3 linked regions of the Arabidopsis thaliana genome follow. The protein of the gene in region 1 interacts with the protein of each later gene in a biochemical or structural test. Each region holds a gene or a part of one and is shown in the gene's direction. Other genes may lie near its edges.

Region 1 (6,930 bases):
CTAGTAAGAATTTTTTCCATGTATATTAGGTCTCTCTGGTCTATACATCTATATACATTGGTTTATACGTACATCGGTACATATACATACACAAATGAGACATTGTACGTTTAGTATACAGAAATGATTAGCATATCATTCGATAAATTCCCACCGTTTATATGTGTGGGTGTGTGTGCGCGACATAGACATATAAGTATATTATATAAGCAGCATTGATGTATGTTTGTATCATGATTAGGTCCACAAAAGTGTCAATACCATCATTAATGTCAATATAAATGGTAACACGTCCCCACCATATAATGCCTACAAATCTACATTAGGTGCACATACATAACAATTTGCGTATATGTGTGAGTTCTTGTCGATTCATTTAATTATTCTTCTATAAACTATTTCCAATAGATGGTAGTGATATATGATATCATGTCAACATTATTGGTAATTTTCTTTACAAAAAATGATTAAAGAAAACACACAAACTGCTAACTTTAGTATAAAATCATCACCCAAACTCTTCTTTAACAAACGTAATCATTTTCTTAAGAAGATTAGAAACACTAATCATACGATTTACTTTTTCTTTTTGTCAACATAATCATATGATTTTCTAAAATTATATTTTGAAGACTTTTTTTTGGTGTTTGGCCTCGAGTCATTTATATTTCTTTCTCTTTTGAGTGTGATTTAATAATCATGAGAAAAAAGTCCAACCAACTTTGAAATAGTGAGAAAGCTACTTGGACGTCTGTTTTAACTCCACGTGTCAAGCTTAGAACATTTAAAGGTTTTGCTTACAATTTTTATTTATTTGATCCAACCAACACCAACCCATCTCAGATATTTTCGCCAATCATAATCAGAGATCAAATTATAACGGTGAAGCTATTTTTAACTTGTATATTAAATAGTAAAATATACATGTTACACATCCGGATCCGTGGCGCAATGGTAGCGCGTCTGACTCCAGATCAGAAGGTTGCGTGTTCGATTCACGTCGGGTTCAATCCCCCGAACTATACACCCGGTTTCTTTTTTCGGTATGACATACCTATGTCTCCACTGCACGACGTCGTTCAGCGATATAACACTAAACGACGAGACATCTGAGCTAATTTAGTGAAACCACACGCAGTTTTTCTTTGCAAGCCTTAAACTTTTTCTTTCTTTCTTTCTGATACTGATACTGATAGTATTGAGAGACTGACTAAAAAGAAGAACTAGAATTACAAAGATAAAGTAACTGAAGGAGAAAATCTATTAATCAGCAGGCTCTTCAGGCTTCACAAAGAACTCTATATAAGCAATCCGACTCGGTGGCTGATACCCTGCGGATTCCACTTGTGGAGCTAAAGCTTTAGAAACTGAAACCAAGTGCTGAACTTTCAACATTCCTCCTCTTCCTATTGTTAGTTTGCTTCCCCTGTTTTCTCTCACTACGTTTCCCGGTATGTTTGCCGTTGTTGCTTTCAAAAACTTGTATTTGTACCTACAATCAACAATGAGAAGTTTAGCAAATGTATCTGGCTACTATTCTTGATTGGTAAATCAAGCGTAGGAGCGTGTGTTTTAACCATAAAGCTACGGTAGAGAAAGAATTGAGTTCATTGTTACCCGTAAGAGACTTCGGTATCACAATGAAAGGCAAGGAGAAGATCTGTGTTGGCATAATACATGAAGTCTATCTGCAAAGAGGATAGATCGAAATATGTTCCTTGATTCTTTCACATTAAGATAATATACATCACCAAGAAACAAGTGAGAAACAAGACCTGCAAGTCTCCATGTCCTTCTCCTCTAAAGATTACACAAGGGGGTTCCTTTTGAAGACTGATCTGTACACTTGAACCAGGCCATTCAAGATCATCTATTGCTTCCTTCAACGCCGCTGACTGATAGATACATTATCAATTACCATTTGAGAAAAAGCTCAGACTAACAATGTTAAACGAAAAACGATACTAAACTATGTTACTACCTTTACTGTAAAAGTAAGTGGCGCGATTCCCGCCTGCTCAAAGTTGTAGTCCCAAGTAACAGTTTCGGGAATTCTAGTTCTTATCTCAGAGTAGATGCAAGAGTTTAAGGTATCAACAGATCTAATCAAACACTCACACCAATCAGCTAATTACTCGTAATCCGTATATTCACAAAGCAAAGGATCATAGTACACATACTTGAGAAGAAGCTCCATATCAGGTCCTGGATACTTGATTTCTATAGTATTAGAATGTCCAGGTGATGAAAATGTGTTCAAGCAATCAACAAGAAGCCCTAAGCTGATTCCGAATCTCGGCCTACCTTGAGCTCCATACTCGTATTTCGTGAATAGCTACTCATATAACACATCAAACAGATTTCGGATTCAATCGAATTTTAGGGGTTTAGAAAATTTAAGATAAACTCAGAAATCGATACCTCGCGTTGAAGATAAACTTTGGCTTGAAGACAACCTGATTCTTCAACAATCAAAACTATTCCGTGTTCAGATAATTCTACTAAAGCATCCTGGAAACGGAGAAGTTTTCAGAAAATCAAAGAAGAACCCTAGATTGAATTTGGGGAGGATGGAGATAAAAACCTGGTGGCGTTTCCATCGGACGCAAGTGAGTGCATCGACCATTCCTTGAACATTATCGAGCTGGCAAATCAGGTCCGGTGTGTCTGGTTCAATCGCCGGCGACGAGGACGAACTCATTTCTCTCTCTCTCTCTCACTCTCCTTCCTCTGCTTTCCCGCCAGAAAATGTATGCCGACAATATAGCAATTAAATTGATTATTATTATATTTGTTTTAGCAGGCCCAGTTATTAATAAAGTTGATCTTTTTGGCCCACACACAAACTAAAAAGAAAAATAAAAGCCCATCTTTATGATATCGCGTTTATATCTGAGTCACAGAGAAATAAAAGGGTATGTTTGTAAATTTCAAATACTTCTCTTTCTTTATCCGTACGAAAATGGACGGTGTTACCGGCGGAGGAACGAATATCGGCGAGGCTGTGACGGCGCCACCACCGCGGAATCCGCATCCAGCGACTTTACTTAATGCGAACTCTTTACCGCCCCCTTTCCTTAGCAAGACGTATGACATGGTGGAAGATCCGGCGACGGACGCGATTGTCTCATGGAGTCCGACGAACAATAGCTTCATTGTTTGGGATCCACCGGAGTTTTCTCGTGATCTTCTACCTAAATACTTCAAACACAACAATTTCTCCAGCTTTGTTCGCCAGTTAAACACCTATGTAAGTATAAATTCTCTCGCGCCCTAATTTCTCCACCATTGATTTCTCTAATTGTACTGTGTATAGATTATGATTTCGTTGAATAATCTTAGTGCTTGATGTGTTTGATAAGATTTATATGATTCATGTGCCAATTTTGATGAACAGGGTTTTAGGAAAGTGGATCCAGATCGATGGGAATTTGCTAATGAAGGTTTCTTAAGAGGTCAAAAACATCTATTGAAGAAGATAAGCCGGAGAAAATCTGTTCAGGGACATGGTAGTAGTAGTAGTAATCCACAATCTCAGCAATTATCTCAGGGTCAAGGTTCAATGGCTGCATTATCTTCATGTGTTGAGGTTGGGAAATTTGGGTTAGAGGAAGAAGTTGAACAGCTTAAAAGAGACAAAAACGTGTTGATGCAGGAACTCGTTAAGTTACGCCAGCAGCAACAAACAACAGATAATAAACTTCAGGTTTTGGTTAAACATCTTCAGGTTATGGAGCAGAGGCAACAACAGATTATGTCTTTCCTTGCTAAAGCTGTACAGAATCCTACTTTCCTCTCTCAGTTTATACAGAAGCAGACTGATAGTAATATGCATGTAACCGAGGCCAATAAGAAGCGGAGACTCAGAGAGGATAGTACTGCTGCTACTGAGAGTAATAGTCATAGCCATAGCTTGGAAGCATCAGATGGACAGATAGTTAAGTATCAGCCACTTAGAAACGATTCAATGATGTGGAACATGATGAAAACAGATGATAAGTATCCGTTTCTTGACGGGTTCTCATCTCCAAACCAGGTATCAGGAGTCACTCTTCAAGAGGTACTACCCATAACTTCAGGACAGTCACAGGCATATGCATCTGTACCATCAGGACAGCCTTTATCATACTTACCCTCTACTTCAACTTCTCTCCCGGATACCATAATGCCAGAGACTTCCCAGATACCACAATTGACACGAGAGAGTATCAACGACTTCCCTACAGAAAACTTCATGGATACAGAGAAGAATGTTCCAGAGGCATTCATCTCTCCAAGCCCATTCCTTGATGGTGGTTCAGTCCCGATTCAGCTTGAGGGAATACCCGAAGACCCCGAGATTGATGAACTAATGAGTAACTTTGAATTCCTTGAAGAATATATGCCAGAAAGCCCAGTTTTTGGAGATGCAACTACACTAGAGAACAACAACAACAACAACAACAACAACAACAACAACAACAACAACAACAACAACAACAACACAAATGGTAGACATATGGATAAGCTTATAGAAGAATTGGGTCTTCTCACATCAGAAACAGAACACTAGTAAAGGATTATGTTTAGTATCCATTGTAAAGTCTTTCTCTACTAACATTATCGTTAGGACTCAGTAGTACGGTTGCAACTTTGTGCAGAAATCTTTCCTTGGATAATAGAAGAGTTGTATTTATTATTAAAAAGAAAATGCCATTTTTTCTAATTTATTGTAGAAAGTGACTACTTTGTCCAATCATATTTGTAGTCCTTTTTCGATAAGAAAAACAGAGTTGGAATTTTCCCGGGGAAGCTCTTTTCAATGGAGGTCCTTGCGAGCTCTTCATTATCCCCAATTTCTTTTACTAAGCCTAACAAAATAAACCCTAATTTCTCAATCCAGGTACTTTTCTTTCGTATAGTTGACTCCTTTTTAAGTTTCTCTCCTGCAATTCCCCAATTTGTGTCCGTTTAGCTGTGTAATAGAATTTTCAACCTTTGCAGGTGAAATTGTGGGTAAAACAACCTCCAAAGATTTCAAAAGCTAGCAAATTTAGTTATGCTCGTAGTCGTAGTAACATTTCAAGGAGCAATGCAGCAAACCCAGGAGTCGTGTTCGTCTGTAATAGATTTCTGTGTGTTATCGAAAGAAATGATCAGAGGAAATTATCTGGGAAGGTTATGATGAAATCTTCTGTTAATTTCAGACAGAATCTCTCTGTTGCATTAGTTCGGATCGTTTCTGTTCTGCTTGTCTCTTCCATTTCTGTTGTTACCACTGATTCACCACCATCATGTAAGTTCTGTTTTTTTTACATGTTGAGAAACCATATAAATTTCGGGGAATGCAATTTGATTTCATTTGTGTGGCTTTTTTTCTCTGTCTCTTTAGGGGGTCTTACTGAAGAGAATCTTCTCTTCCTCGAGGCTTGGAGAACAATTGATCGTGCTTATATTGATAAAACCTTTAATGGACAAAGCTGGTTTCGTTACAGAGAGACTGCTTTACGAAATGAGCCTATGAACACTCGAGAAGAGACATGTATGTGTGAATAGCTTTATTAACCTTTTACAAAATTAGTACAACTTGCTTCTAAATTTGGTGTTGGTTTGTGTTTAGACATGGCTATCAAGAAAATGGTGGCAACACTAGATGATCCTTTTACTCGATTCTTGGAGCCCGGAAAGTTCAAGAGTTTGCGGGTAAGATTTCCTGAAAATATACAGTTCTGAATTTAGCAAATAGACTGTATGTAAGATCTAGTAATTAAATGGTTTGGTTGAAGGCAGTCGGGGACTCAAGGGGCGGTTACGGGTGTTGGGCTGTCGATAGGTTACCCCACTGCATCAGATGGACCACCAGCTGGGCTTGTTGTTATATCAGCTGCTCCAGGAGGTCCTGCAAATAGGGCGGGGATATTACCTGGCGATGTTATTCAAGGAATTGATAATACAACCACAGAAACTCTTACCATATACGATGCTGCACAGATGTTGCAGTGAGTTACATTTCCATTTTTCATCATTCCTTAACTTTGAAAAATCTAAGTGTGACGAGTTAATGGTTCTGAAGTAAGAAATGATGATAATGCTTTGGTTGAAATGCAGGGGACCTGAAGGAAGTGCAGTGGAGCTAGCGATTCGCAGTGGACCTGAAACGAGACTCTTAACTTTGACGTATTTCTCTCATGCCTACATTTATCTTCGTTGTCACGTTCATTTGGTAACTACAATTGTTGTTATTTCAGGCGAGAGCGGGTTTCTGTGAATCCAGTGAAGTCAAGATTATGTGAACTTCCTGGTTCTGGGAGTAACTCCCCTAAGATTGGCTATATCAAGCTAACAACATTCAATCAAAATGCTTCTAGTATGTATTCTTTGGCATTACTGATTCCTTCTTACAAATTTATCTACTCTCTAGTTTATTATCTCTCAAAGTCTTAACACTTTTTTTGTAGGTGCGGTAAGGGAAGCTATTGAAACCTTGAGAGGCAACAATGTAAACGCATTCGTCTTGGACCTTCGAGACAATAGGTGATGATTTTTTGAGAACATAAACTCTTTTTTGCTTTTGCAACAGCCTTTCTTAAAAAAATTGTTCTTGCTGCAGTGGAGGTTCTTTCCCAGAAGGAATTGAGATTGCTAAATTTTGGTAATAACCTCATAAACCGTTACATATAACGAATTAGAAAATTTCAAGATCCACAGCTATCATAATAGAAACTTCAACATTTGCTATCCACAGGTTAGATAAAGGAGTGATTGTGTATATTTGCGATAGTCGAGGTGTTAGAGATATATATGATACTGATGGAAGCAATGCTATAGCAACCTCTGAGCCTCTTGCCGTTCTTGTATGAGCTTCCATCCTTCCTTTCCTCAAATCTAGTCCTTATTGTAATCTGTAAATGCCATGAAAGATTTCATTCTCACACAATCTTTCTCTTTTCC
Region 2 (7,869 bases), on another chromosome or scaffold:
TTCATTTCTCTTCTATAAAGTCATTTTCTTTTATTGACATTTTGATATTATTGGGTTTTTCAGTGTCTTGATGATTGGGTTTTATTCTACGCTTTGATGTTCCTTATTCGCTCTTAGGGGTTCGATGAACTTCATTAGCTGACAGATGTATATTAGTCTCTTCAACGAGATTTACTCATTTAGCTACAAGTTCTTATTCTGTGTTATTTTATTTTTTTTAATTATTCTTTGTGGTTATTTCTAGGTAGAAAGAATCGGACATGGAAGAAGCAGTTGTAACGAGGTATTGGTGTCATATGTGTTCTCAAACTGTGAATCCAGTCATGGAAGCTGAGATCAAATGTCCCTTTTGTCAAAGTGGGTTTGTTGAAGAAATGGAAGATGACGACGATCATGATTCTTCTGATCCGGCTGATGTTAGAGCAAACAACTCTCTTTGGGCGCCTATCTTGATGGAACTTATGAATGATCCTGTGCGTCGTAGGAGAAACCAGAGTGTTGAGTCTGTTGAAGATAATCAAAACGAGGTACAGACCGAGAACAATGAAGACGATGGAGAAAATGATTTGGATTGGCAGCTTCAAGAGATTCTCAGGAGAAGGAGAAGACATTCCGCTGCTGTTTTGCAGTTGCTTCAGGGGATACGAGCAGGGTTGTCTGTAGAATCTGAGAGTACTGGTAATGGAGGTAATAATCCGGGACGGGTGATCTTGATCAATACCTCCAATCAGACTATCACGGTTCAAAACTCTGCTGATATGGATTCTGTACCTGCTGGTTCTTTAGGTGACTATTTCATTGGTCCTGGATTTGAAATGTTGCTTCAACGTCTAGCTGAGAATGATCCCAACAGATATGGAACACCTCCTGCTAAAAAAGAAGCTGTCGAGGCTTTGGCTACTGTGAAAATCGAAGAGACTCTGCAATGTTCGGTTTGTTTAGATGATTTTGAGATTGGAACTGAGGCAAAGCTGATGCCCTGTACGCACAAGTTTCATAGTGACTGCTTGTTACCATGGCTTGAGCTTCACAGTTCATGCCCGGTTTGCAGATATCAGTTACCTGCAGATGAAGCCAAGACTGATTCAGTAACAACAACGAGCGATAACAATGGAAGCAGTAGTGCTTCTGCTACAACCAGCCATGGAGCTGAGAACAGCGATGGAAACCGGCGCCAAGAAGAAGAAGAAGAAGAAGAAGAGGAGGAGGAGGAGGAGAACGAGAACAATGACGGAAGCGGATTCTCGATCCCGTGGCCGTTTAGCACCTTGTTCTCCTCGTCGCAAGATAGCAATGCACCAACGGATTCTAGTTAAGACATGTTCCCTGAGCAACATAAGCTTTTTGGTGTGATCATGAAATCTCGGTTCTACCTAAATCTGATCTTTTGTCTGTACATAAGTTTCTCAGATTTGGTTGAATGCTACATCTTTGGAAAACAAATATCTTTCAGTTTGTGTTTTTTTAATTGTTTTTGAGCAAATCTTTTGCCGGATTCTGTAAGTCGCTTGTGTGTTTTTTGTTGTCAACCAAAGCCACTTTTGCAACTTAGTTTGTTAAATTAATGCCTTAATGGTAAAATAACAAGATTGGTGGCTGTAGTACGAATTGTGTTGGTAATAAATTATAAATTTAAACATAAAAAGTAATTTAACATTCATCACCTTTGTTGTATGAAATGGAATTGTATAATATTGTATGCCTAATTACTTAGACCGACTCGTTTAATATGTCGTCATCCAAAACAAAATATGATGTCTTTTACTAAACTTAATGAAGTGATGCTTTTTCCTTGTGTTAATCCATGATTGCATTACCATGTAATCTTTTGTTTACGCGTAAACATTAATTAGAATTTATAAAAGCTAGAGTTCACATGTGTAAAATGCGACCAAAGTTACCAACTTTATGCGCTATTAACGAACCTTTTGACATTAACGAACTTAACTTTGATATAGTATATATACTAATATATTAACGTTTCACCAAATCTCCTTGTATATATATAAGTATTGTAGTATCAACTTATTACATTATCTCTCAGATTAGTCATAATCCAAAAGAAGAAGTAATGAATCGTCAGGTTTTATCCCTAATCACTTTGATTATTCTCTTGGTCTCCGCGTACAACACGACTATGGGCCGAACTCTGCCGAGTAAGTGACCGTCTTTGATCATACAAATACAATCACGCATAAACAAAACTCATATTCAGTTCTTAATCTCTTTTTTTATTATTATTATAAATTAAGGGGAAGGAAATGGAGCACAACAATTTGATAATCTAAAAGCTGGTGTCAGACGAAGTGAATCGGCACGTACTCGTCAGAAAGGACCCGGACACTGATGAGTGATGATCTCTAACAAGTTTTAGTTGGCACCTTCATGCAATAATTGATAATCTACTGCTTTGTAATAAGTCCGTCGTTGTGGCGATTCATAGTCTCTACTCGATTCATATTTGTGAACGTGTCTTGAGTTATAGTCTTACATATAGATCCAACAAAAAAACGTATGCTAACACATTCTGTAATAGAACACGTGGCAGACAAAGAGTGGACGGTTCCCTAAAATTCCAGTAAAGACCGTAACATTAAAATCTAATAAGCTGAATTCCCATAATTACCCTCATCCGACAAAGAGAGGCAAGGGTAGTTTAGGAAAGTATATAGAGGTAATAACGTGTCCTTAAGCTCCACAGATCCAAAGCGCAGATCACAAATCTCATCCCCAGAGAGAGAACCCAGAGAGCGATATTGAAAATCAAAACTCTCTCCTTTATATATAATCCCAATTTACAAATCTCTTTCCCTCTCTAAAAATTTCTTATCTTTGTATAAAAAGCCTTCTCCTTTTTCAAATCATTCACCTTCCTTTCGCCTTTTCGGGGGAATTTCTTCCAATCTGTTGGGTTTACGAAACCCTAGATTTCGAAATTCCGGATTGCTAACTAGCGAAAGGTCTGATTTTGTTTCGTACCCTTTGTTCCTAATGGATTCAATTCCACGGATTTTATCTGAATTGAGTTTCTTCGTAGTTGCTTGTTACGAATTGGATCTCATGTTCTGAAGTTGTGTGTTTCATAGCTTTTCGTTGTTTGATTGTGAAACAATGTTTCTAGATTTCAATTATCAAAACTGGTTTTTAGATAACCAGATTTGGTCAATGAAATTGTAAAGCTTGAAAACAATTTTGTTTCGTGGATGCTTGTTGGTTTGGATCGACATGAGTTTCTGTTTTGCCCTATTTAAGACGAGATTTATAGCTGATGTGTGTGTGTTTACGTTGATTCTTATGTTAGAGAATGGCTGATCAAGGAACGGAAGGGAGCCAGCCAGTTGACCTTACTAAACATCCTTCAGGGATTGTTCCTACTCTTCAGTGAGTTCTCTCTTTTGTGTCTCTGTTTTAAGATTCTGAGTTTGTGCTTTTGTGAATCACAAGATCTTACCTTTTTCTTTTTTGGTTTGTTTCAGAAATATTGTCTCAACAGTGAACTTAGACTGCAAGCTTGATCTTAAAGCCATAGCTTTGCAAGCTAGGAATGCTGAATATAACCCCAAGGTTTTGCTTTCTTTGTGATATTCGTGTTTTAGTAATCGATCATTTTGTTTGGTCTCCACCACTTTGGTTTGTATTTTCGGATTTGGTTTTAATCTGTGTTTTATGTTCCAGCGTTTCGCTGCTGTAATCATGAGGATCAGAGAGCCAAAGACCACAGCGTTAATTTTTGCTTCTGGGAAAATGGTATGTTTTCCTTTGTCACTTTTTCTCTTATGGCCTAATCTTCCATGTCCTTGTTTTGACGTGGCATCTATGCTGTCCAATATTAGGTGTGTACCGGAGCTAAAAGTGAACATCTTTCAAAGCTTGCTGCAAGAAAGGTAAACTAGCTCATCTCAATACTGTCTGATGTTCTTCTTCTAGCATCACTGTAGTTAGAAACTTGTTACAGCTCTAGTAGGTATTTGTTCTCTGTTATATTAAAGAATTCCTTTTTGTTGTTCAGTATGCTCGGATTGTTCAAAAGCTTGGCTTTCCTGCAAAGTTCAAGGTACTCATATGTCTCTCTCTGGTCCTGATCCAGCACACACTGTGTTATTCATTTTTATCTCAATCAACAATTCGTGTGTATTTTTATCGGAAGGAAAAATTACGTATAAAGTCTAGTAATAAAATTGCTGATTACATTTTGCAGGATTTTAAGATACAGAACATTGTAGGCTCATGTGATGTCAAATTCCCCATTAGGCTTGAAGGTCTTGCATACTCTCATAGTGCTTTCTCAAGTGTAAGTGATCTCAAGCATTGTGATCATATATACTTGTAACATGGGTGTTAATCGGTCTGATGATTCATACCTCTCTCATCATTGATGCCAGTACGAGCCTGAGCTATTTCCAGGATTGATATATAGGATGAAACTTCCAAAGATTGTACTGCTTATTTTTGTGTCAGGAAAGATTGTTATAACTGGAGCCAAGGTAATAATTGAACTTCTCTCAAATGATTAAAATTGTTTCCATGAAAATGCTTCTGTCATCTTATGAAATCCCGAATCAGATGAGAGAAGAGACTTATACCGCATTTGAGAATATCTACCCAGTTCTTAGAGAATTCAGGAAGGTCCAGCAATAATAGTATGTAAGTTCAACTTTCTTTATCTCCATTTACATTTTATACCCCTTAATCAATCAACAGTTTGATTATGACTATTTCGATTCGAAAGCAGAGCCTACCATATTGAAGGCAAAAACCATGTTCACGTTTGGATTGCCATGAACTAGAGATCTCGGGTGTTGGCAGGCGCTTGGTGGGGTTATATTCCTTGGACAAGAACTTGAAATGATTCAGATTCAAAACCAGAAATTGTAAATAGAGAATGGAGATGCCAATAAATCTCTTTTCTTTTTGTTCTAAAAATGTCTTCCAAGTAATCTTGTTTCATGTTCTGTTTGTTTCAGTGAACAATACCCAATCATTAAAGAGTTACTTAGTTCTTTGCTAACTGTTCTGTAATAAGACACCAAGTCTGTTTGCCCTTTAATATACTCTTTCAAGCAATTTGCCGCTCTGGTTTGTCAAATGTTTGGATCATAAGCTTTCATCTTTCAGTAGATAATAATCTTCGTACACATTAAGTGAGATAGTCCTATTATAACATGTTTTCGTTATCTTGAAATTCATTAAAGTTAATCGGTAGTGTTACATTAGACGAATTGATAACAAAGACATGCGATTACATTAGTCCTAGTGTAAACAGTAAACTACAGATAGTACGGCTAGTAATTCACAGTCGATTTGATTGCATCCAATATCTGCATCAAGCAAGAACACATGATATGTTAGAAACTGCGTTTTGGGTCGGAATAGAGGAATGATAAGAGAAGAGGAACTTGCCTTGTTCTTGGTGGGCATGTAGAATGGTTCAAACACAAGAGGAAATGGAGTATCCAGACCACAAACTCTGCTTACTGGAGCTTCTAACTGCATTTTAAATGACAGTTAAGAAACGGAGAACCAATAAAGAGTAGTCACTTGTAACGGTGATGATTTGAGCTTTCTTTTTACTAACCTTCAAAAAGCAACGTTCCAGAATTGTTGCAGAGATCTCTGCTCCAAAACCTCCTGTTACAGGAGCTTCATGGCTTATCTGCAACCCCAAGCACAAGCAAAAGCAATCTATAAGATCGACCAGACAAATCAAAATCCGAAGTTGTCAATCAAGATTGCTTAAATCTTACAAGAAGTCTGCCAGTCTTTTTAACTGAAGCCTCAACGGTTTCTTTGTCCCAAGGAAGCAGTGTCTTGAGATCTATCAGTTCACATGATATTCCTTCCTGCATCAACTCAAGACCTTAGTTAATATTACTGCGAACCATTCATCATTGAGTTGAAAGATAAAGCTATAAACCTTTTCCGCGTCCAGACAAGCTTGTTCCATAACGGTAAGCTGAGCTCCCCATCCAACCAGTGTAATGTCATTGCCTTCTCTTATAACCTGCTCATAACTCCTAATAGTGAGATTCTCGTCTCCGAAAATAGACGGCCAAAAATGAACTTATGATACCTCTGCTTCTGATAAAGGTATCATATAGTCATGCTCAGGGACTTCTTCTACTGCTTGACGATACAGCCACTGAAGGAAATATCAACGTTTCAAGACTTAAGAAGAGGTGCTAAGAAGCTGATTTGGTTGGTAAAAAAGAAATGGAAGTACCTTTGGTTCGAAGAAAACAACGGGATTTGGATCACGGATACATGACAACAACAGTCCCTTTGCTTCTCGTGGACTCCGAGGGATAACAACCTTAATACCAGGGACATGGCAAAAGAAAGCTTCAGGGGATTGTGAATGGTAATGTCCACCATGACCAACTGCTCCATATGGTGCTCTTATCGTAAGTCCTATCAAGATCCATATAAACCATAATGAGTAAAATAGATTACTAATAACAAATCAAGAAAAAGCGTAATGATGAAAGATTTACCTCCACAGTTGAATTGGTTACCACTTCGGTATCTGAACTTTGCAGCTTCATTAACAATCTATAAATCACAAAACCGTTCAGAAATATGGCGACGGAAAGCATATGCTTGTTTAAAGAGAGAACATTTACCTGATCAAAAGCAGGATATATATAATCTGCAAACTGAATCTCTACAATTGCTCGATTACCCTGTCAAAATGGAACACCAAACTGAATCTCACAACTGTACAGTTCAAAACATGAACACAAACAAGAACTCACCATTGCTGCTAGACCAATGCCAAATCCAACAATGCCCTGAATCCAGTCAAAACTTAAATGAATGACTCATCAAGAAACACTACCTTAAGAAGTGAAAACAGAAGCAGGTCAAAGAATGATACCTGCTCACAAAGAGGAGTATTGAAGACACGGTTTTTCCCGAATCGTTCAGCTAAACCTGTTGTACAGCGAAAGACTCCACCAAAGCCAACGTCTTCCCCAAAGACATAAGACCTCCCACAACAAAAACTTAAAGTCAGACTCTAAAACGACATCATACATATTTGAAGCAACTATATGTGTATACTAATTAACTAAATTCCCCACATTTTTTTTATCTTTCTCCACAGAATGTATTAGATGTCTATTAACCTAAGGATCAAATGTCTAGTGTAAGCTTACCGAGGATCGGTGTCCAAAGCGATGTGAAGCGCTTGATTAATAGCAGAGTATAGATTCAATGGTTTTCCAGTTTCCGTCGATACCCTCCTAGCTCCGTGACTCAAGCTCGGAAAACTCAGTTTCCGGCAGGATCTGCCTAAAAGAGCCGCCATTTACACAAACCCACCAACAATCAATCTGAAAAATATAGGATTGCGACAAAAGCAAGCTCTATTTTGGCAACTTTCACCCAACTGGTAAGATTTTTAGGTGGCAAAGGTTTGCTACTTTTGGTGGGTGAAGAAAGAAACAGATTCTAAGTTAATCACGTAATTACGAGATAGATGATAGATACTCCTGCCACGTCAAATCCGACACGAATCAATATCTCTCTCGCAAGTTTTTTTTTTTTTCGCGGTAATTTTTTGGATGGTGTCGCAGACTTGGTGTTACATTAGGGCCCAAAAGGCTAAAGCCTAAAAGAAATCCATATTGAAATGCAAAGACATCATCTAGATGTTTTAGCCATATGGTTTGCCAAACTCATACTCATCCAAAATAATAATAAAATCAGATGAATTTAAATGCAGATGATTCTTACAAAAATTGTAATTGTCTAAAATATACTCATTTACCCTCATACTTTAAATGATGTAGTAAAACCTGTATAAATTAATATGGTTGTTAACATATATAAACTCATTGTTCATATTTTAAGAAATTATGCATATAGATT
Region 3 (8,680 bases), on another chromosome or scaffold:
AAAAACAAACATTAAAATCTAGTGGCAGTTATTGTAAATAATTCCCAACTATAGGATTTATTTCACAAAATGGCTGCTATATAGATTTTTTAGATAAAACCGATCAAACTCTTTTTCTTTTCAATTATTAAACTCTTTGATGGGTTAAGAAACATAAAAACAAAAAGGAAAACAGAGGAGAAGAATCGAGGATCCAAAAGCCCATCTAAGGTGAGAGAAGAGGGGTCCAAACTGAGATTGGAACAAAATCGGTTTTAGGGTTTCAGAAAGGCCCAAATTAGATTCGAGTAGAGCAGTCCCACAGTGACTCCGACATGACAACACTTGAGTTACACAAGACCACCACGTCTCTATACTCTAAGTCTATGCCGTACGTCAAAGGCACCAACTCTTTCATCACATATATTATTAATCAATTTATACAAAACTCCAAATAATTCACGGGACCAATACTGAATCGAAACTAAACGAATTTGTTAAAATCGGACTTTGTAGATGCAACCGAAACAGAGTAAGTACATGAAAATACGTACAACTGCATGTGATTTATTGTGAAATTCTATGGGAAAAAATTGAATTGACATATTATGCAAAATGCCCGTATGTTACATAAACTTTTATTTTTGTGTGTGTGACTTAACATGAGTGTATAAATGGAACTTTTTTTGTTTTATTTTGTTTCATATAAGAATTTACGATGTAGGAAAAAAATTAGAAATGAAAAGAGGTGGCAAAAGAAAAAGAAGTGGGAGAAAATAGATGTCAAGGAATATTGATATTCTTCTTTTCTCCGATACATTACTTTTCCTTCCATTATCTTCTAGTAATAATTTAGGCTTTTGCTGCCAAATAACTCACAACCAAAAAAGCCCACCGAGGAAGATGGTTGTTAGGGTTTTTCTCTGTTTTATACTTTCCTTGGGCTATCTTACGTACGTAAAATATTTCTTTATATATTTGTCTAGTTTCATCTTCAATCTGAAAATATTATTCAAGTTTCAGGTACGATTCATCAATCTTTGTATTGTAAATTGACTCTTCTACAAAAAAAAAAATGAAAATAGAAATAAGAACCAATAACTAAACTTAAAGAATTAAATATGCTAATTTCAATTCCAATGTGCCAACAATGAACGCAATTATTTGATCTTAGACTAAAATAATCACTCGAGGAACTCGTTTCAAAAGAAAGAAACCAATCAAATCATTGCCTTCCAACTACGGATACTGAGTTTTTTTAACTCATTATAACACGTGAGATCGTCACTATCTCACGCATTTTTCTTTTTGGGTGGGTAATTCACTATCTCACGGATTACATAAATGTTTATGGATTATGACGATTGGCTGCATTGGAAGATGTATAGCCCAAGAAAACATATTTAATCCAGTATGATAGCCTTGTGATGCTCTATAATTTAAAGCATGGTTTTATATATAACTGTGACGTAAATATCAAGGTCTAAAAGCATTGTCATTTTATTTTTATTTCGTATAAATGAAAACTTTAGTCTAAAACACCCGGTCATGTAAAAGTTAAAGGAAAAAGAAAAGAATGATAGCTGATTAATTATGGCAATGTCGTACTATACTACGTCGAGAACTATTCATGATTAGATATTCATCGGTATGATAAATCATATATATGTGATGTGCCTAGTGCAGAAACCCAAACTATTATTTATTTATCTACTCCTTTGGGCTTTGACGTGCAAGTAAATTCTTAGATGTTGTTTTCGAAGTTTATGGGTAGGCAAACCAAAATCTGGAATGAGATATAGAAGAAACAAAAAGAATTTCGAGAATGAAAATTATGTCTCATTTTAAATTCAAATGAACTATAATTCATAATAAGAACATATGTTAAATGATGTTTTTACAACTTGATATGGATTTAAATTACATAAAAGAGAAAACACAACTTTTACCTACTCCTTCTCACAACTCATTCATTTTTGGTGTAAAGTTGATATATGTGGTGGACAAGTGAAATTTGGCAAAACTTGGTTTAACAATTGGCTAACCCTATGAAACAAATTAGGCCTTTGGGTAGAGCTTTCTTTTATCAAGTACCAACTTCGAGGTTATATATATGCTCTGCTTTTATATATTTTGGCATGATTCTAGGACTCTTTTGGATCCTTCGATTGATATTTGTAGACATAGCAAAATTGGCAGTGCAAAGATAAGGTTGCTGTGTAAGTCTTGATAGAATTTAGCAAATATAGAGACTACTCATCTCGTCTATTCTCTCTCTATAAGTTAAAATTGATGGGTTTGATATCAACAAGACATTACAATATTTCTAAAACATAAGAATATCTATACATTAGCCATCAATTAGCAACAAATTTTTTAATAATCAATTTACCATCATAATTTTGTAGCAAGTTGGTGAAGGAAGACTCTTTTCTTGGCAGCCAAACATCACATTAATCCCATTTTAACAATAAAGTGATTAAAAACTAAAAGAACTGAATAAAATAAAAACAAAAGAAATGAATGAAGCCTTTGGCTTTGCTTTTTCTCTTTTTGATTCTCTCCACTTTATTTTTCTTGTTGCTACTGCTAAAAAAAGCATCTTCTTCTTCCTTTTTTCATTCTTAAGAGTCTTTTGCTTTTCCTTGTTCGACTCTCTCTTTTCACTTATTTAGCTTTTGCTTCTGATTGGAACTAAACTCAATTCTCTCCTTCTTCCTCCTCTTTGCGTGTGGTTTATCTTCCTCTAATTAATCTATTGATCTCAATTCTCAACCTTTTTGTTAATTTCAATTTCCTTACCCCTCTCTGCGTTCTGGGTTTCCGAGTCTCGATTTCTGGGATTTCTTGCTTCTCACATGAATCTGTTTCGCAACCTAACTTATTCATCGGAGTGATATCGATATTCTTCTCAAATTTTGAAGCTTTTCGTTTCGAATTGACAATTCATGGGGATCTGTCATGGAAAACCCGTCGAGCAACAATCAAAAAGCCTCCCAGTTTCCGGCGAAACTAATGAAGCTCCGACGAATTCACAGCCACCGGCGAAATCCTCTGGCTTTCCGTTTTATAGCCCGAGTCCTGTACCTAGCTTATTCAAATCCTCACCATCTGTATCTTCTAGCGTGAGCTCAACGCCTCTTCGTATCTTCAAGAGACCTTTCCCTCCTCCTTCTCCTGCTAAGCACATACGAGCTTTCCTCGCGCGTCGCTATGGCTCTGTCAAGCCTAATGAGGTTTCGATTCCCGAAGGTAAAGAATGTGAGATCGGTCTCGATAAGAGTTTTGGCTTTTCAAAACAGTTTGCTTCACACTATGAGATTGATGGTGAGGTGGGTCGTGGACATTTTGGATATACTTGCTCTGCTAAGGGTAAAAAAGGTAGCTTGAAAGGTCAAGAAGTTGCTGTTAAAGTTATTCCTAAATCAAAGGTTCGATCTTTGAAACTGAAAATCAATTTCTCTTAATTCTGTATTCGTTATGTTGTTTTGAAATATATGACAATGATTTCGAATTCTAGTTTTATCGCCATGTGTTTATAGAAGTATACAGCTTGTTTCTCGACCCCGAGTCATTGCTTAGTGTTGAATGGTTTTGACTGCAGATGACAACTGCAATTGCGATTGAGGATGTTAGTAGAGAAGTGAAGATGTTGCGGGCTTTGACTGGTCATAAGAACCTAGTCCAGTTCTATGACGCGTTTGAAGATGATGAAAATGTTTATATTGTCATGGAGTAAGTATACATTTCTCAGTGAGATGTCTTAAGATCATTTGATTTTCAATTCCAGGATTGCAATAAATATATTGTAATCTCCTTTTACCAGATTATGCAAAGGTGGTGAACTCTTGGACAAAATACTTCAAAGGTAATTGCTAATCACACATGGCTCTGTATCTGATTGATTTTCTCTTCTGAATCGTGCTTTGACTGGTTGAGCTTGATCTAATTAGGGGTGGAAAATACTCCGAAGATGATGCTAAAAAAGTTATGGTTCAGATTCTCAGTGTTGTGGCTTACTGTCATCTACAAGGTGTGGTTCACCGTGACCTTAAACCCGAGGTACTTTATAATCCATGGTGATGTTTAATTTCTAGATTGTTCTCTCATTGTTTTTTTTTGTAAATCATTTTGGCTTTTGTTGACACTTCACTTTCTAGGTCCCATCACATTAAGCAGTCTTTGTACACATAGAAATGAGTTCCACTAACTTATGCAGAGTGATAATGACGGTTATGTTTCTTTCTATTTGTTTGTTTACCTTTCACAGAACTTTCTTTTCTCTACCAAGGATGAGACTTCTCCTCTGAAAGCAATTGATTTTGGTCTTTCTGACTATGTCAAGCCAGGTTAGAGATGTTGAAATTGACTCAAGATTTCTCATATCAAACTCATCTTCATGTTAAATAGAAAATTTGACGGTGTTTTGCAATTCTGCAGACGAGAGGTTGAATGATATTGTAGGGAGTGCTTACTATGTGGCCCCGGAAGTTTTACACCGTACATATGGAACAGAAGCTGACATGTGGAGTATAGGAGTGATTGCTTATATTCTTCTCTGTGGCAGTCGACCCTTTTGGGCCCGTACTGAATCCGGAATCTTTCGAGCTGTACTAAAGGCAGAACCGAATTTTGAAGAAGCTCCTTGGCCTTCTCTATCACCCGAAGCTGTAGATTTTGTGAAGAGATTGCTAAACAAAGATTACCGTAAAAGACTAACTGCGGCCCAGGCTTTGTGTAAGTATAATATCTTTGATCTCTATAACAGGTTTAACACATCATTATTTTGTTTTCATGGTTCTGCACTTCTTATATTCTGAACATCTGAGTAATCAATTGTCTTTTTCCTCAGGTCATCCCTGGCTGGTTGGCTCGCATGAACTAAAGATTCCATCTGATATGATCATATACAAGCTTGTAAAAGTGTACATAATGTCAACTTCATTGAGAAAATCGGCTTTAGCGGTGAGTTTGATTCCACAGAAGCTGTGACATATATACTACTTACTTAACAATTTCAATTGTTGAGTTCTTTGAATGAAAACTTTATGATTAATGGGTTTTGTTTTTCATGGTTTTAGGCTCTTGCCAAAACATTAACTGTACCGCAGTTAGCGTATCTTCGGGAGCAATTCACATTGTTGGGGCCAAGCAAAAATGGATATATCTCGATGCAGAATTACAAAACAGTGAGTTGTTTTTCCATGATTCCATCAACCTCTTCAGTTTTCTTTTGCGATCTTCTGTGATTATTGAACTTTCCTCTACAAATCTCAGGCAATCCTAAAGAGTTCAACAGATGCTATGAAGGATTCTCGAGTGTTTGATTTTGTTCACATGGTAAGAAAGCTATAAATATAAGGACTATAAGCTTAATCATTAGGTTTGGTGGTTTAACGTTGTAATCTCTGTTGGGATGCAGATAAGTTGTCTTCAATACAAGAAACTAGACTTTGAAGAGTTTTGTGCTTCAGCATTAAGCGTTTATCAGCTCGAAGCAATGGAGACATGGGAGCAACATGCACGGCGTGCTTACGAGTTGTTTGAGAAAGACGGGAATAGGCCCATCATGATTGAAGAACTTGCATCGGTATAAGTTTTACCCTTTTTAATTCACCTAGGGGCTAGAGAAGACTCGTGAAGAGCAAAAAACCTGGTCATGCTTGATCTTAAGCATCTGTATGTTTTAAATTGCAGGAACTCGGACTAGGGCCATCAGTGCCGGTGCACGTTGTTCTTCAGGATTGGATAAGACATTCTGATGGCAAACTTAGTTTCTTAGGGTTTGTCAGATTGCTACATGGCGTGTCTTCTCGGACCTTACAAAAAGCTTAGAGTAACGCCATTGTTAGATGAGAAAAGATGCAACTAGGTGGAGTAGATCTGGTTTCTTCTTTCCTCTCCACTTCTTGATAGTTTTTTTAGTTTTCTTTTTCTATTCATGGTTAAGCTTCTGAGTCAAAGATTCGATAATTATGTCTGTGAGTGTATTTGTGTGTGGTGGGAAGGAAAGGTTTATGAAGAAGAGGAATGTACAGAATGAGACATATCCGATTGGTGTTTTTAATCCAGTGATGTTTACGTGTGAAGCACTCTTTTAATGGCAGCCGGAAAAAACAATTTGTCTTTGTGCCATCGTTGGATCAGAGCAATGATACGACACGTGATTGTGTCTCACATTGTCAGAGACAACCACGTGACTTTGACCTTAAGATCTCTGATCTCATCTTAATCTCTACCTAACCGTCGCAAAGATTCTTTCTTTCTCTCTTCTTACTCTGATCTAGACACTACAACAGTTTCATTAATGGCGACAATGAGCAAACCCCATAAGTTAAAAGCCACTCCAGGATCTCAAAGACTTGTTCTGTTATGTATAGTCGCAGTTGCATTTCTCCTCCTTTTCACTTCGGTGATCTCCACCGGCGGATTGGCTTTACCGTATCGGACAACCCTAATTGGTTATTTTGTGAGGTCAACTCGAAACAAGACACAGCATAGTTTGTCGGACAAGTACTTGTACTGGGGAAACAGAATCGATTGTCCTGGTAAGAACTGTGAGACCTGTGCCGGTTTGGGTCACCAAGAATCTAGCCTTAGATGTGCCCTTGAAGAAGCCATGTTTCTGAACAGGTAACTTTTGCAAAATCCACCAATATGTCAAACTTTTGAGATTTCTGATGAAGTTCTTGAAATGGCAATTAGCCTATCTGGTTCAATGAGATGGTTAGTTGAATAAATGATGCAGCTCTCTTGGTAAAGATGGTCACTGTAATTGCAATTTTCTTGTTGCAGGACTTTTGTAATGCCATCTCGGATGTGCATCAATCCAATACATAACAAGAAGGGTATACTTAATCGATCCAACAATGAAACTAGAGAGGAAAGGTGAGAGTTTCTTTAAACTACTTCAAAAACTTAGGTTTTGTTTTGTTTCCCACTTTTGAACACAAGAGGTCTCTCTCTCTCTCTCCTTTGTATGTTCTTAGTTGGGAAGTGAGCTCTTGTGCAATGGAATCATTGTATGATATTGATCTCATCTCTGAGAAAATACCTGTGATCTTGGATGACTCGGAAACATGGCACATAATGCTATCGACGAGTATGAAATTGAAAGAACGTGGGAGTGCGCATGTATATGGGGCAAACAGGCATGAGCTAAATGACTCTAGCGACTTTACAAATCTTTTGCTCATTAACCGAACCGCAAGCCCCCTTGCATGGTAAGCATTGCTGAGGAAATTGTGTTTCCAATAGATTGGGAAGTTGCTGCTCCTTGAGCATTATTTTCTTATCTTGTTTGTGTTAGGCATCATCATTATCAGATCATATATCTATCTTCATTGTAGGTTTGTTGAATGCAAGGATCGAGGTAATCGTAGCGACGTCATGCTTCCTTATTCATTTCTCCAGACTATGGCAGCATCAAGATTGAGAGATGCTGCAGAAAAGGTGAAGGAGTTGCACATAATCTAGCTTTCAGGAAAGAGTGACCAGATGGTAATGTACTGTTGACGCCTTATAGCTTATTTATGACCAGTTTTGGTTGAACAGATAAAAGCAAAACTTGGTGATTACGATGCAATCCATGTTCGTCGAGGTGACAAACTGAAAACAAGAAAAGACAGATTTCGCGTGGAAAGAAGCCAGTTTCCACATTTAGATAGAGACACACGGCCAGAATTCATCATTGGCAGAATTCAGAAACAAATCCCACCAGGACGGACTCTTTTTATCGGTTCTAATGAAAGAACCCCTGATTTCTTTTCACCTCTAGCTATCAGGTAAAACCATAATGTTTAGATTCAAGTTTTTAGTTATATATGTAGAATGTTCGTGTAAGACTCTTGTTACACTGCAGATACAAAGTGGCGTATTCATCGAATTTTAGTGAGATTTTGGATCCGATCATCGAGAACAATTACCAGTTGTTCATGGTGGAGAGGTTGATAATGATGGGTGCAAAGACATTCTTCAAAACATTTAGAGAGTACGAAACCGATCTCACTTTGACTGATGATCCGAAAAAGAACAAGAACTGGGAAATACCAGTTTACACCATGGATGAAGGCAAAGAAGCAGCAAGCTAAACTATCTATGATCTCACTAGGCACTAGCAAAGTCTACACAACGATTCAGACAAGAGTCTCATTACTCTTCAAATACTTGGAGTTAAAAGCCTAATCTTATCTGAAGATTCTATTGCATAGGAACTCTGTGTATGTGTAACCAGAGTCTCTAACAGAGACTAACAGACTAGATTTGCTACTTGGCTGACTCATTTTTGTGTAAATCAATCTGTTTATCTTCACTTCAATGTTCATTGCACCAGAAATGGTTTTTTAAAAACATTCGAGTTACATGGTATGGTCGTTCGTCTTTTAAGCAAGTTTCTGCAGCCACTTTCGATATCCTAATCCAATATAAGTGAAATTTCATATTTTCTTTCTTTTCTAAAGAGAATAGGTTCTGTGAAAGGTTAAATGGATCAGTAGATTTTAATCAGATAAGCCTCTTCATATTTTTTTCAAATCTGTACTTACATAACATAACCTAGGCACTTTGTTCTAAAACTACAACGGCAAACAAAAGAGGCCAAAAGAAAACCTAAAAGAAAGATAAAGAGGATGTAAATCAGATCATTTACTGGACATATTATCGTCAATGCAAGGCCATTTCCGTTGTTAGAACGCAGCAGAAG

Evidence for each region. Proteins that work in one complex are often made in the same cells at the same time.
Region 2: the proteins of HSF1 (region 1) and TBP2 form a complex in vitro, tested with the Arabidopsis thaliana proteins (2 studies listed by BioGRID).
Region 3: of the proteins of HSF1 (region 1) and CRK1, one has a biochemical effect on the other in vitro, tested with the Arabidopsis thaliana proteins (one study listed by BioGRID).

The regions. Positions count from the first base shown.
Region 1 is NC_003075.7:9,867,591-9,874,520, reverse strand, and holds HSF1 (heat shock factor 1), read left to right. Parts: upstream 1-2,874; 5' UTR 2,875-2,917; coding exon 2,918-3,250; intron 3,251-3,397; coding exon 3,398-4,552; 3' UTR 4,553-4,703; downstream 4,704-6,930. Other genes in the region: AT4G17760 (PCNA domain-containing protein), read right to left, coding at 1,264-1,492, 1,618-1,688, 1,776-1,895, 1,982-2,102, 2,181-2,335, 2,422-2,511, 2,585-2,701; AT4G17740 (Peptidase S41 family protein), read left to right, coding at 4,802-4,882, 4,984-5,275, 5,372-5,521, 5,600-5,682, 5,770-5,978, 6,088-6,156, 6,228-6,346, 6,438-6,513 and 2 more. UniProt on the Arabidopsis thaliana protein: Transcriptional activator that specifically binds DNA sequence 5'-AGAAnnTTCT-3' known as heat shock promoter elements (HSE).
Region 2 is NC_003070.9:20,722,919-20,730,787, reverse strand, and holds TBP2 (TATA binding protein 2), read left to right. Parts: upstream 1-2,696; 5' UTR 2,697-2,960; intron 2,961-3,301; 5' UTR 3,302-3,304; coding exon 3,305-3,381; intron 3,382-3,476; coding exon 3,477-3,564; intron 3,565-3,675; coding exon 3,676-3,747; intron 3,748-3,833; coding exon 3,834-3,884; intron 3,885-4,009; coding exon 4,010-4,054; intron 4,055-4,198; coding exon 4,199-4,291; intron 4,292-4,382; coding exon 4,383-4,484; coding exon of another isoform or gene 4,485-4,514; exon of another isoform or gene 4,515-4,563; coding exon 4,564-4,638; 3' UTR 4,639-4,644; exon of another isoform or gene 4,645-4,732; 3' UTR 4,733-5,282; downstream 5,283-7,869. Other genes in the region: AT1G55530 (RING/U-box superfamily protein), read left to right, coding at 261-1,316; BCDH BETA1 (branched-chain alpha-keto acid decarboxylase E1 beta subunit), read right to left, coding at 5,283-5,318, 5,401-5,487, 5,576-5,653, 5,745-5,840, 5,915-6,001, 6,071-6,139, 6,221-6,408, 6,492-6,549 and 4 more. UniProt on the Arabidopsis thaliana protein: General transcription factor (GTF) that functions at the core of the DNA-binding multiprotein factor TFIID.
Region 3 is NC_003071.7:17,147,565-17,156,244, forward strand, and holds CRK1 (CDPK-related kinase 1), read left to right. Parts: upstream 1-2,530; 5' UTR 2,531-2,927; coding exon 2,928-3,410; intron 3,411-3,583; coding exon 3,584-3,714; intron 3,715-3,805; coding exon 3,806-3,847; intron 3,848-3,932; coding exon 3,933-4,041; intron 4,042-4,249; coding exon 4,250-4,328; intron 4,329-4,419; coding exon 4,420-4,716; intron 4,717-4,831; coding exon 4,832-4,944; intron 4,945-5,060; coding exon 5,061-5,168; intron 5,169-5,256; coding exon 5,257-5,319; intron 5,320-5,401; coding exon 5,402-5,569; intron 5,570-5,676; coding exon 5,677-5,814; 3' UTR 5,815-6,129; downstream 6,130-8,680. Other genes in the region: AT2G41150 (plant/protein), read left to right, coding at 6,287-6,612, 6,775-6,867, 6,969-7,202, 7,329-7,431, 7,534-7,763, 7,841-8,069. UniProt on the Arabidopsis thaliana protein: May play a role in signal transduction pathways that involve calcium as a second messenger. Serine/threonine kinase that phosphorylates histone H3.